2 linked regions of the Drosophila melanogaster genome follow. The protein of the gene in region 2 purifies or fractionates together with the protein of the main gene of each other region. This does not show direct contact. Each region holds a gene or a part of one and is shown on either strand. Other genes may lie near its edges. The genes, in order: PolE1 and PolE2.

Region 1 (8,176 bases), on a different chromosome or scaffold from region 2:
CAGTTGAGCTCCAGGGACAGCTCATCCTCTTGATCCTGCTCGGCCTCGTTGCTCTCCACTGGATCACGGTTTTCCGAATCCTCTTCTTCATCCTCGTCGTCATCTTGATTGCGTTCAGAATCCCGTATCATGGTAGTGGAAACTATTGACGACACTGTCTCATCGATTCCCTTTGGTAGCTTTCCCCTAATTCCCGAGAAATTTGCCTGGTCCATCCAGAGCATAAAGTTCCAGCATTGCTCGAAGCTCAGTTGGATGGAGTGGAACATCTCCTTGTTCCTCAAGCTTTGCACAATGTAGTCCACATAGCCCAGGGCATCGGAAACGGTTTTCTTACCCGAACTAAGGATAATCCTGTTAAAGTCCGCATAGATAATGGTGGCGCCCAATCTCTTGAACTCGGCTATAATGCGCAAGAACATCTTCCTCATCAGATTATTCAGAGATCTTCTCAAAGCAGGATCATAGAGTAGTGCATTACTGGAGCGCACCCATCGATAGAAGTGCACGATCTGGAAGTCCGAGAAGATGTTCCTATTGATGGATACCTCTCGCAACCAACCATTCACCATGGAGCGCATAACGCGGAAGGCGGCGGAACAGAGGGCCGTTTCATCATAACTCGGCAAGGTGGCCGCCGGAACAGTGCCAATCATCTCCTCCAGCGAGACCTGCGGCATCACATCGAACGTAATGGCAGATGAGGCGCCTTCCATTTCCTGAATCCTAGTCGATTGGAGCAGGGCACTCACCGCCAGGCTATCCAGAGCCAGCTCCACGCAAACATCCGGATAGAAACCGGCCTTGTTTTGCACCACACTAATGCTCTCCTCGAATTCCGCCAACAGCCGGCTGTCGTCCGCCTCCCGGCCACCCAAATCTGGTCTGGTACTCGCCGACCACCACAGCACAAAGTTATGCCGCTGCAGCAAGCGAGCGAAGAAAAGATCCGCTCCGAAAAGCACAGTATCCGGCGGCATATTGCCAATGGGCACATGGAAGTAGCGACACTGATCCAACATCAAATCAAGAACATTGTTCAGATTCAGAAAGTGGCGTATCACTGCCCTGGAGCCCTGTCGCTGCCAATCAAGGCCAGAAAGCAAACTAGCGTCATCGGAGATATGAATCTCAGCCTGGGGAAACTCCAGCAGGATCGGCATGGCCAGGCTGAGTTTACGCGCCGACAGCGCCGTTTGAAGGCACAGAATGGTGGGTCCCTGATGCTCCTGTTTGTAGGTGGTCAGTGCCCGCTGTATGTGCCGGTAAATTTGTTTGACATCCACCTCAATGAGAACCTCAAATGTGTAATCCTCTACAGGAATTTTATCTTGCTCCTCTGCCGTCAGATTCTTGAGCAGGGCCAAACGCTCGGCGGTATACAATTGCCTCATGTTCGGCATTTGATTGGCACGCACTGTGTCCAAGGCAAAAACAAATGCCTTCTTGCTGGGCATTAGGATCAGTGACCAGATCTCCTTCTTGGCCGTCGGTGTGTTATGCTGATACAAGTAGATTTTGCGCAATCGATTGTTGGCGCTAGCCAAATATTTGACCTGAGTCTGGGGCCGCTGCTCCAGCTGCTCGATGCTAAATGTTTCCAGATCCTTGGTGGCCAATTGGGCCAAGCGACGTGCCTCCTCGCGCTGGACACCGCAAATGCAGCCCATGTCCATGAGGGCGCGAAATTCCAACGTCATCTGCGTCTCGTATATGCCCTCAATGTCGGGCGTCGCCAGATCCGCCAGCATGCCCAGCGAGTTATCCCGGAAGAGCTGTTCGGGCACACTATATCGATAGAGATTGAAAACAGGTCTGGATCGTGGCAGAACTCGATTGACCTTGCGCCAAAGTTGACCCTCCTCTGGAGGAGCTGCACTTCGCTGATTTACATAGAAAATCCTCGGTACCGTCAACTTGATCTTGTGCAACTCTTCGCCGATTAAGGCCCACACAGTGAAGTGGCCCAGGTCGTCGACGGGCACCAACTGTACGATCTGCCACGGCTGGTCCAACAGGGTGCGTTGTGCACGTCTAAGGAATCCGCCCAGTGTAGCTGTGGATCCTGTTGCTCTGACCACCGGCGGATCCTCGCCTCGAGTTCGCTTGCTCGCCTGGCGATTACGCTGGCGCTGATCCTGCTGCCATTTCCATTTCTTCTTCTGAAATCTCACCCACTCAACGATGGTCTTTCTGGTTTCACCGATGGGCGGTGGAGCGCCCAAGGCCTGACGCCAAGTGGTGGCCTGCGGCTGTGCCTCCTCGTCATCGTGCTCCTCCAGCTGGATTCTCTTTCTCTTGGTGACTATCGGACAGCCTGCAGCACCCTCACCGCCATCTTTACCAGCCAAATCTTCCATATCGGCCAGCTTGTCCTCCTCTGTGGCTAGAGGTTTCGGTTTGGGTCTGCTGGTGAACATCTCATTGATGCGACGCTGCTTGAGCACATCGTTCTTCTCCAGCATTTTCTTGTGCAACCAATCCGGATGCTGAACTCTGGGCACTGGATTGGCCAGTCCCTGCAGTGCCGCCGGTATGGTTATGATCTTCTGAATGGTCCCACCCAATCTCTCTATGTAGTAGTTCCAATCGAGCACATCGCGTATATCCGCATCGCCCATGGTGTTGTCCTTAAGCCAGCGACGCAGGTGATGTCGCCTCACGCTCGGTTCGGATTGGAAAATGGCCAAGGGAATAGCTCTCTCGGTGACGGGTGCTCCTTCGGGTTTCTTCGAAATAATGTACTTACAAGCCAGACCCGCATCCTTTACCATCTGCTCGCCCAGGAACTCAGCCAATCGCTTGGCCGTGGAGATGGACGTACTCTTTTGGGCGCCATACTCCTCAAGCTTCTTGGACATGCTCTTGTTCTCCGAAATAAGTTCGAATAGCTCCGAGTCGGGTAGATTTGATCCTCTGCTGTAGAGTACATCAAGCCAGTAATCCGCCACCTTGGCCACAGATGCATAGCATTCCTCAAGTGTGCTACCAGCGAGGAAAGCTTCGAAGACGGAACTCTGGAAATTTTTGATCAGCTGCAGTTCACCGCGTCGCTTCACCTCGAATCCCTTGAGTTCAGCCAGTGTGCCATCGAAATTAAAGACCGCATATCTTTTCTTCAGCTTCTTGCCCTCCTCTTTGGCAGCGGGTAACACCATGGCAAGGTAGGGTCCATCCACCTCGAAGAATATAGAGTTCTCATCTCGAATATCGTATTTGGGTAGATTGTTTTCCTTATCCTTCCTCAACTCGTGGTACTGATCGTTGGTAAAATGATCTTTAACCATAGTGTTTAGCACTGCATTCGGATATGATATGTTAATCTTCTTTTTCTTCTCATGGCTCGTGTGAATGGTAAACTCCTGCGGAAAGGAGCCAGGCAATATGCACCATATACCATCAGTGTCCAATTCGAGTGGTCGACCAACTCGCTCGATAATTTCCCTCGCCTTGGTGATAATATTCGAGCCCGTGAGGCACACAATGCCGGCCATAGGCATGGAATGCCAACGGGCTCCTCTCCTCATCACGTAGCCATAGAAGGAGTTCAGGATGCACTTGTGGGCCAACTGCAGGGAATCGTAGAGCACCTCCCTGCCCTTGGCTGCCTTGATCTCTGCCGCGTCTCCCGAAGCCACCGCAGCATTCACCGATGCTTTTGCCACTTTGGTTAGTCCTTTGTACTCGTAGCGACGATCGCGAAAAGCTCGCACCGTGTCCACATAGAAGCTGTTCTCCTTCTGGCAGATGGTCGAAGTGCGCGTTTCCAATTTGGTTAGCTTGGTCTTCTTGTAAGCCTTGCGGCAGTAATCCGTCAGACGTTTCTTCTCGTACGCCGCCTGATCCTCCTTGGAGAGCTCGTGAAAGGCTCGCTGTGGTCCGCCAGGGAAAAGGGGTGGAAACTTCTCGGTCTCCAGCTGCTGCTGAATGCGCTGAAACTCGTTCCTGGAGGCGGGCAACATCTCGCCGCGCCACAACCAGTCCATGGAACGTTTGCACCGAACTCCTGGCTTGTTGAAGTCACAGGCGGCACAATCTAAGTCACTAACCATTGCCGAGGGCTGCAGGCGATTGGTCAAAATAATGTTGGGGTACATGGCACCCACATCCAAGTGATAGATGACCGGCTGCTCCAAGCGATTGGGTATATCGTGCAGACCCTGTAGCCCCTGCACAATCTCCTGCCGCACTTCATCCAGATTCAAGACCTTCTCGAGCGGTATGCCTTCCTCCACTTCGATAGCGTGGCGCAGAACTGCATCAACCTGCTCCTGCAGTTGCTTGACCATAGCAGGATCTAGACGAAAACGGCATGGTATGTCCGCCCGGAAAACACCCGATTCCAAAGCCTCCACATGACCACCCACATAGGTTTCCGAATCCAGTACGTGTCCCTCGTTGGAGAGCTTATTCAGCTCACTCTGATGCTTGTTGGGATACACAATCTGGGCATGGTAAGCCTCCACCATCAGCAACGTTTCACAGAGTGTGCCGGAACCCTTTCTTAGGATCTCATCGGGTTCCATGGGAATAATCGTATTTAGGGCGAAGATAAATGGATGCACATACTTCATGTACAGATAGTATGTGGCCACCGCATCGGATACAGAGTAATTGGCCAGCACTTGGGGCTGTTCCACGGCCATGCGGCACATATCCTCCGGATCGAGTTCCACAGGATCATAGCGTAATTTAGCCTTGGCCACCGCCTTTAAGCCTTGAGATCCAACAGGTAAATAAGAATCTCGTTTCACCCAACATAGGCAATCCATGTGTATGGCAGGGCGACTTAGATAATTGCCATCCCGTAGCTTGGAGAAGCCAATCTCTTGCTTCATGTCCAGATCGTACACTGCAGCACGCGTCTCCACGAAGGGCCAATCGAAGAAGTCGCCGTTGTATGTAACAATGATGTGGGGACGCACCTCCATGATGTGATCGAAGAAGCGCTGGAGCAGCTGCATCTCGTTCTCTTCGTTGAATACTATAAAGTTACCCTCGAATTCCGGCTTGGGAGTGTACTCAAAATCGTCCACATTGGATGATATAATCTCACGATTGGTTATCAGATAACCCTGACCATCGATCATGTACGAGATCATCATAACCTGATCCGTCTGGGCATCGGGAAACTTAAGGGGCAGCTTAGTGGTTTCTATATCAAAGGCCAGGACCACGGGCTCGGGTCTGTCCAGAATATCCGGTCGGCAGGTGATCGTAGGCAATTCCACGCCACTTCTGCACCTGATATTGTACCACTGTCCACAAAAGATGCGCAAATCGATGGACACTCTGACGTGGTAAGGCACATCATGCTCCCTTATGTCCACAATACAATCCATGTAATCCTGCTGCCTCTTACCCAATGTGGCATCCTCGGAACCTGCGGAGGATTGGGCCAGCGAGGTGGCCAGCATTTGCATGTAGTATGTGTTGGATTTCTGTCGCTCCTGATTTCTCTTCACCGCGGACATGAGTTCCCTTCTAACCTTGGTCATGGCTGTCTGATTGAGAAACGAAAGTTTTATGTACTGCTGCTGCAAACCGGATAGATGATTGGGCAGATCCAAATCTTCTTTGGTTATGTGCTCCAGTCCAGAAATCTGGCCGGAATACTTGCGACCCAGAAATCGCGCCACTTCCAGATGCATATTATCCTCTGGTCGGATGAGTAAATATGGCTGATAGGCCACCGTGCATTTGAAGCGGGAACCATCCATTTGGATGAAGAACAGGTCCAAGGCAGCAATCAATCTTCTGTCCTCATCCAAAACTTCGTTCTGCAATTGGCATAGCCATTATTGGACATGATTTTCAACGTTTTATGGGCTTCCTAACTTACCGAATGCATGTTGATGAGGTAGCCCGTCCGCTCCTGGCTGTCCTTAACCCGATCGAAGCCATATTTCGAGTCGATTTTATCGTTCTCCCGGGATTGACGATAGCCCGCCTCATTGAAGAAGTCGTCGCTGTGGATAAGATTGGAAAATATCTTGTTCAGCGTGAAATTCACGAACTTTGACCACTCACCCTTCTGTGCGATTCTCGCTGACGAATTTACCCGTATTTTGCAGCACTTTGCCTTTGCTGGAGTCGGACATTTCCGTGCTGTTTAGCAGAAATAAAATAAATAAATGTAAATAACTTGTTGCCGCCAAAAATCTGCAAACGTCTCAGAAATGTGCTAACGCGTTGCAGAGAATGCTGACATTTAGCTGTTGCACAGCACTGTAAAGTAACACGTTTGGCGCCAATTTCAAAATGTTACTACAAATAAAAGAAAACAAGAAAATTATTAAATGGTTTTAAGAATATAAGTTTTACCTAGAAATCCTCAATTATTCTTAGCTTTGTAGTTCCACCTAACACAAATTAAAAAAATAATGCTTAAAATCTGATGAAATCATAAAATATAATATTTATGTTTATTTCATCACAGCTTGACCATTTTAGCTATAATTTTCCTGTAATGGGCATTAAATGCCCTATTTGCTGACAATTTAAGGACAGCTGCTGGCCAATTGAGTTGGCCTGTTGGCCATGTGTTTTCCAACTGCTGAAATGTGAAGTTTTTTCTACTAGTTCTCCGCTGCAATGGCATCATGCAGTCACGCACACAGGCGCATTCATTCATAAAAATCCGGCTCACCTACACGAGTTGTAAGATTCCAGCGCAGTGGAGAGAGGGAGAGAGAGTGGGAGAGCGGCGCGCATGCGCTCTTTGAGTTCTTTTTTTTCGCTTGCTGCACTTGTCGCCCCCTTTTATGTTTTTCAGTTTTACCTCTGCGGCAGCAATTAAGTTGCAGCAGAGGTTGACAATCAGCCATATTTTTATTGCACGTGTTTCGTTATGCAAGGCTGGTTAAGTTTTTTTTTTTTATGTGTACATATACGCTCCCTTGGCCGGGAAAATCGGGAACGCCATCAAGTTTTGTTATCCCGAATCTTATTGCCCTTTTTCTGGGTGCAGCTGGCCATTTGACTGCCGCCCCTGCACTTGCATTCACTTATGCTGTGTAATTTGTAATTTATGCGAAATGCGTTGCCGGAATATAAAAACATTGCAGTCGTTTCAGTTCCATATCGCCGCTCTCTGTCGCACACACTCTCCGCACACATAAACCTGTTTGTGTTTTTGATTTGCGCGAAAGAGAGAGAGAGAGAGAGCCTTTCGAACGCACAGTGGTTGTCATGGTCACGGTGGGAAAATATCGCGCTTAACTTTTTTTGGGGTGTCCAAAAGTATTTTCCCAAGCTGCAGCTTTCCCACATTGTGTGCAAACTTTAATAATGATAATAATAAGTTGATAATTTAATCTCACATCAAAATTTTCATATAGGTATTATTTCATATTAAATAAATATTTTATTAATTATTATAACAAAGAAACTAGTATAATTTTCCTTTTAAATAAGCTGGAACTGATATTTTGACCAATTTACTTTATTTGTCAAAAATATAGATTTGTATAAAATCCAGAATCAAAATAAATAAATTTTTATATCAGTGTACACAATTGAAAGACTGAGACTGCCAAATTTTAAAATATTTGTCTTTATTATTCCGCCCCCTTTGCATACTAAATATTTTAAATATACTAGTGATTTTGGGCACTGTTTAAATGCTTGCCAAAAACGATCGCCCGCACACACACACACACACACATACACGCACCCACACACTCTCTCGCATATTCGCACTTACACTGAGTTCTGAGCAAGCAGATTTTTTTTATAAATTGTTGCTATTTTTTTGTCGCTGCAAACACTTTGTTTTTGCTGCTCGAAATATGTAATTCTGATTTCCATTTTTTTCTTGCGCTCATGATGCACGCTCTAGTGCGAGTGCGAAAGAGATAGCGAGATTGAGGATCACCCACGCCTTTTCGTTTTCATTCCAGCGATCAAGTAAAATAGCGAATAATGTTTATAAGTCAGATTGATATAACTCTCGATTTTCATATTATTTGCCATTTTTGTTATCACTTGCCAGAGCAACACAAAAAAATATTAATCTTAGCAGCGGAGAGAAAGAGAGAGAGAAACGGAGAGAGAAGGTGCGTCGGCGTTGGCGTCAACGCTGCGTCTGCGCCAACGTCGGCGTCGCTGCCGCCTGTTGCCAGTCGGTCAGTCTGTTTTTGTCTTTCTTTCGGGAAGCGTGCACTTGCGCTACGGT
Region 2 (4,325 bases):
GAGCCGTTCGGCAGGAGGAAAAAAAAACCTCCCCACTTCCACATCCTACCCGGCTAATGATGTCTTAAAAAAACGATTCGGCAACTGGTCATGTGACAGCAAATGGGGGCCATCGATGTCCTCAGGTCAAACGCATTATCAAAATTGCCGTTTCAGCTGCCGAGGAGTTGCGCGCCAGCCTGGGAAATTGAATTTCCACGACCCTAAGTGGCCGGCATCGGGCAGAGTAACAATATTTTTCCAAATCGGCTTTAAGTCATGAAAAGTAATAGACAACCCCCGGTCGCCGTAAAAAGCAGATTGCGAGGCGCGTCAGCCGCACAGCCAGGAGACGATTGTGGAACACATGCTGTGCGCATATGATGACTGACGACGGTGATGATGAGACTGGGCCGCTTATCACGAGGGAACAGCCACACGCACTGGGTGCCGAAAAATGTTTCGAGCTGGCGGGCCAAGCAACATGTGAGGTCGCAGTGAGCTAAGCTCCCGAAAGAAGTTTATATCCAAATTGTTAAATTGATGGTATTCTTTCTAAATATAGGCTTGCAGTTGTTTAAAACAAAAAAAAAATTGCCCAAATAGCCCGAAATCCAAAGAGTAATCGACATATGTAATTAAATAATTATTCAAACTTACGTTAAGGTTAACTATATCATAACTACTCCAATTCGTCCGGTATCTCCGAGTCCTCAATCGTTCGCGTCGCTGGTATATACACTTTGAATGCGAACTTGGACTTGACAAAGGAGCCGGTATTGAGAACAGTGCAGCCATGTTGACTGCTGCTAAAGCTCTGACACGAATCGCCCATGACAATCAGATCCGGCAGTGGATACAACCACAGAGCAGGATCGTAGTCCCAGTGCACTGGCATGGCAATCGGATGAATGGGCACCAAATGACCCTGGCACACAATCGTTCTGGCAAAATGCTGCTCGATCTGGGACGTGTCTTCAGGAAAATGCAAGGTGTTGCGACAAAACTTGGCCATCAAATCCAGACGGCAGACCACAATCTGCTGGGTGCAGTACTGCAGGCGACACGGATTCGTAGCCAACTGGGTGCGTGGCCAGGCCTTTAGCAGCCCGGCTGCCAGGCATTCGGGAATTGGAGCACGGGGCAGAATATTAGGTGCCGTGGGATCTTCGGACGAGGGAACGAGTATCAGATCCGTTTGCTTCTTCAGCTGCTCGCAGCCAGCTGCCAAGCCACCCAATGCATCCAGGTGATGCCTCAGTTCATGATGATTCCTTGTGCTGGCCGTGAAGGGACCCATGAGCACTATAGCCTGCGGCGGACAGGAATCATAGCCCACGAACAACTGGCGCAGCTTCTCCATGACAACCGGCAGATCCAACCGAACGTCGGAAAGGAAAACAATGGTTGTTTCCGTGTTGGTACGCTCCAGTTCCTGTAGTCCGGCTGAGTACTTCAGCAGCTTAGCAGATTCACCGCCCCAAGTGTTGGCGGTGCCGAAAAATGCTCGACTGCTGTTTGCCGGTTCCGCAGGTGGAAAGCCCAGGCCATCAACTGGGGAAACATAAGAAACTCTTGAGATGTAGTTATTAAATACTTTGGGCTACTTACCCTTGAGCACACCGTTGTTATAGTTGCCCTCGGCTAAAACAAAGCAGCCCTCGCAGAAGAAGCCGGCATGGAAACGGGCTCCAGTGAGATCTAACTGGACGCAACCCGTGGGATCCTCGACATAGAACTTGCCCTCTTTAAGCTGGGTAAGTAGCCCCAAAACAACTGCCTCCTTCATCGCCGACGTGGCCAGCAGGTTCTCCGCGAACTGGAGCTTAAATTTCTTGGCCTGGGCCTCGGCCCCAACGCCATCCTGTATGACGGCTGGGGCAAAGAGATCGTGTCGCAGAGTTTTCTGTAGTAACATGGCATATCGTTGCTGCATGTAGTCCGATTTCATGCGCGGGGCGGTCAGCAACTGGCGCGGCTGAGTGTCCAGTTCGAATTTCTTTATCCGCTGGTTGTACCGAAAACGGGGCACCGTAAAGGCATCGATCAGGGCAAAGACCGTCTCCCCTTCATCCAATCCCACCCGGTTAAGTTCATTGATGGCCTTCTCCAGGGCGGCTCGCTCCACATGAGGCGTCAAAAGCTTTTGGCTTTGGAGATTCTCGGTGATCACCGTCAGCCATTTGTCCCGTTCCGCTGCGTCAAAGGGTAGCAGCTGCTCCGCCAGGTAGGAACTGTTCTCCGAGCGGATCAGGAATCCACATAGCTTGAAGGTGTTTGTTATTCGCTTTCTCAGCGGCAGTAAATCCACATCCATTGTTATTAAAAGTTTTTTCGCGCGCAAATTAGATATGGATGTTGTCAATTATCGATATCTATGTGCATTTGTGTGACCAGCCGAACATGAAGCTAAAATAGAAGGCCTAGAAAGTAATCGAAAATTGGCGGAAAAAAGTGGAGTTCAAAAAGTTGATATTTGAATGGTTTATTCAAAATAACATATATTTAACTATTTAAGGTTCAAAAAGAGGGCTTTAAAGAAGTTGGCTTTTGTTTAGTACATATTTATAATATTAAATGTCGAAATGCCCCCCAGAGATTGTGAAAAGTATGAGAACTTCTTGCTGTTCATTGGGGACTTTGGCCCCTTTCAGAAGCGACTGCTGTTTTGGATGATGCCCGCCGCCTTTCTGTTCGCATTCACCTACTTTGGTCAGATATTTATGATACTGTTGCCAAAGAATCACTGGTGCAGAGTACGAGAACTAGAGGGACTGCCGGAAAGTGAACAAAAGAATCGGGGAATCCCCAAAAAGCAAGATGGCAGTTTCGAGAATTGTTTTATGTACAATGTGCCCTACGACTCAAATGCGACCAACGATGCGAATCAGACAAGGAGCCCGATACCTTGCAACAATGGTTGGATCTATGATCGCAAGGAGGTGCCCTACGAGTCCATCGCTACCGAGTACAATTGGGTGTGCGACAAAAGGGATTTCGGGACATATAGCGTCGTTGTCTACTTTGTGGGCTGTATTGTTGGTTGCCTCTGCTTTGGATTCATAACCGATCATTCCGGTCGCTTGCCTGCACTATTTCTGGCCAACTCCTGTTCCATGATCGGCGGTTGCGTAAGTGTGGTCTGCAAGGACTTTCCCTGCTTTGCTGCCAGCCGATTTGTGGCTGGACTGTCAATGAACTACTGCTTCGTTCCCATTTATATTCTAAGTGAGTGTTGCAGAGTCAATTAACATAAATCATAAATTTAAATATCATCATCACATTCTTTTCAACAGCTTTGGAGAACGTTGGCATCAAGTATCGCACACTGGTGGGGAACTTAGCCCTCACATTCTTCTTCACCTTGGGCGCCTGCTTGCTTCCCTGGCTGGCCTATGTCATCAGTAATTGGAGGCACTATGCCATGGTCGTTGCCCTGCCAATTGTATTCATGATATTGACCAGCTTGCTGGCTCCAGAGTCACCAAGGTAAATTAATGATAACAATAGGTTTTCAAGCTATCTAAACTTCATTTCCCACTGCAGTTGGCTTATGTCGGTGGGTAAAGTGGACCGGTGTATTGAAGTCATGAAAGAAGCGGCCAAAGCCAATGGAAAAATCATTTCCGAAGAGGTTTGGTCCGAGATGCGGGAATGCTATGAACTTAAATTTGCCAACGAGCAATTGGGAAAGCAGTACACCAGTCTGGATCTCTTTAAGACATTTCCCAGGCTCGTCGTCTTAACGATTTTGATTGTCACATGGATGACTGTGGCCCTAGCATACGATGCCCATGTTCGCGTAGTCGAAATCCTGGACACAGATATATTTATAACCTTTTCCCTTTCCTCGCTCGTTGAAATTCCTGCTGGAATCGTACCAATGCTTTTGCTAGATCGAATTGGTCGCAAGCCCATGATGTCGGCTGTCATGCTATTGTGTGCAGCATCCAGTCTCTTCGTTGGTATTCTAAAAGGACATTGGAATGCATCAACGGCAGCGATTGCAGCCAGATTTTTCGCCACAATGGCCTACAATGTGGGTCAACAGTGGGCCTCTGAGATACTGCCAACCGTGCTGCGCGGTCAGGGACTGGCTATTATCAATATTATGGGTCAGATGGGTGCCCTACTCTCACCACTTGTACTCAGCACCCACCGCTACTATCGTCCCTTGCCCATGTTTATTATCACATTGGTGTCCGTGATAGGCGCTTTAATAATCTTGTTTCTGCCGGAGACCAAGGGAGCTACGATGCCACAAACGTTGGACGAGGCGGAAAAGCGCTGGACGTTACGTTGTAGAGATCGTAAAATAAACGAGGATCTTTAAAAAATTAATTTAA

Evidence for each region.
Region 1: the proteins of PolE2 (region 2) and PolE1 purify together in Drosophila melanogaster (affinity purification with western blotting, with the first as the bait; one study listed by BioGRID). This does not show direct contact.

What each region holds. Positions count from the first base shown.
Region 1 is NT_033777.3:23,346,116-23,354,291, reverse strand, and holds the start of PolE1 (DNA polymerase epsilon subunit 1), read right to left. Parts: upstream 6,165-8,176; 5' UTR 6,102-6,164; coding exon 6,031-6,101; intron 5,970-6,030; coding exon 5,843-5,969; intron 5,781-5,842; coding exon 1-5,780.
Region 2 is NT_037436.4:5,895,084-5,899,408, forward strand, and holds PolE2 (DNA polymerase epsilon subunit 2), read right to left. Parts: upstream 2,353-4,325; 5' UTR 2,297-2,352; coding exon 1,591-2,296; intron 1,534-1,590; coding exon 662-1,533; 3' UTR 608-661; downstream 1-607. Other genes in the region: CG5592 (uncharacterized protein), read left to right, coding at 2,565-3,207, 3,276-3,468, 3,526-4,312. UniProt on the Drosophila melanogaster protein: Accessory component of the DNA polymerase epsilon complex. Participates in DNA repair and in chromosomal DNA replication. Has a role in the entrance and progression through S phase. Has a role in endoreplication. Essential for viability and tissue development.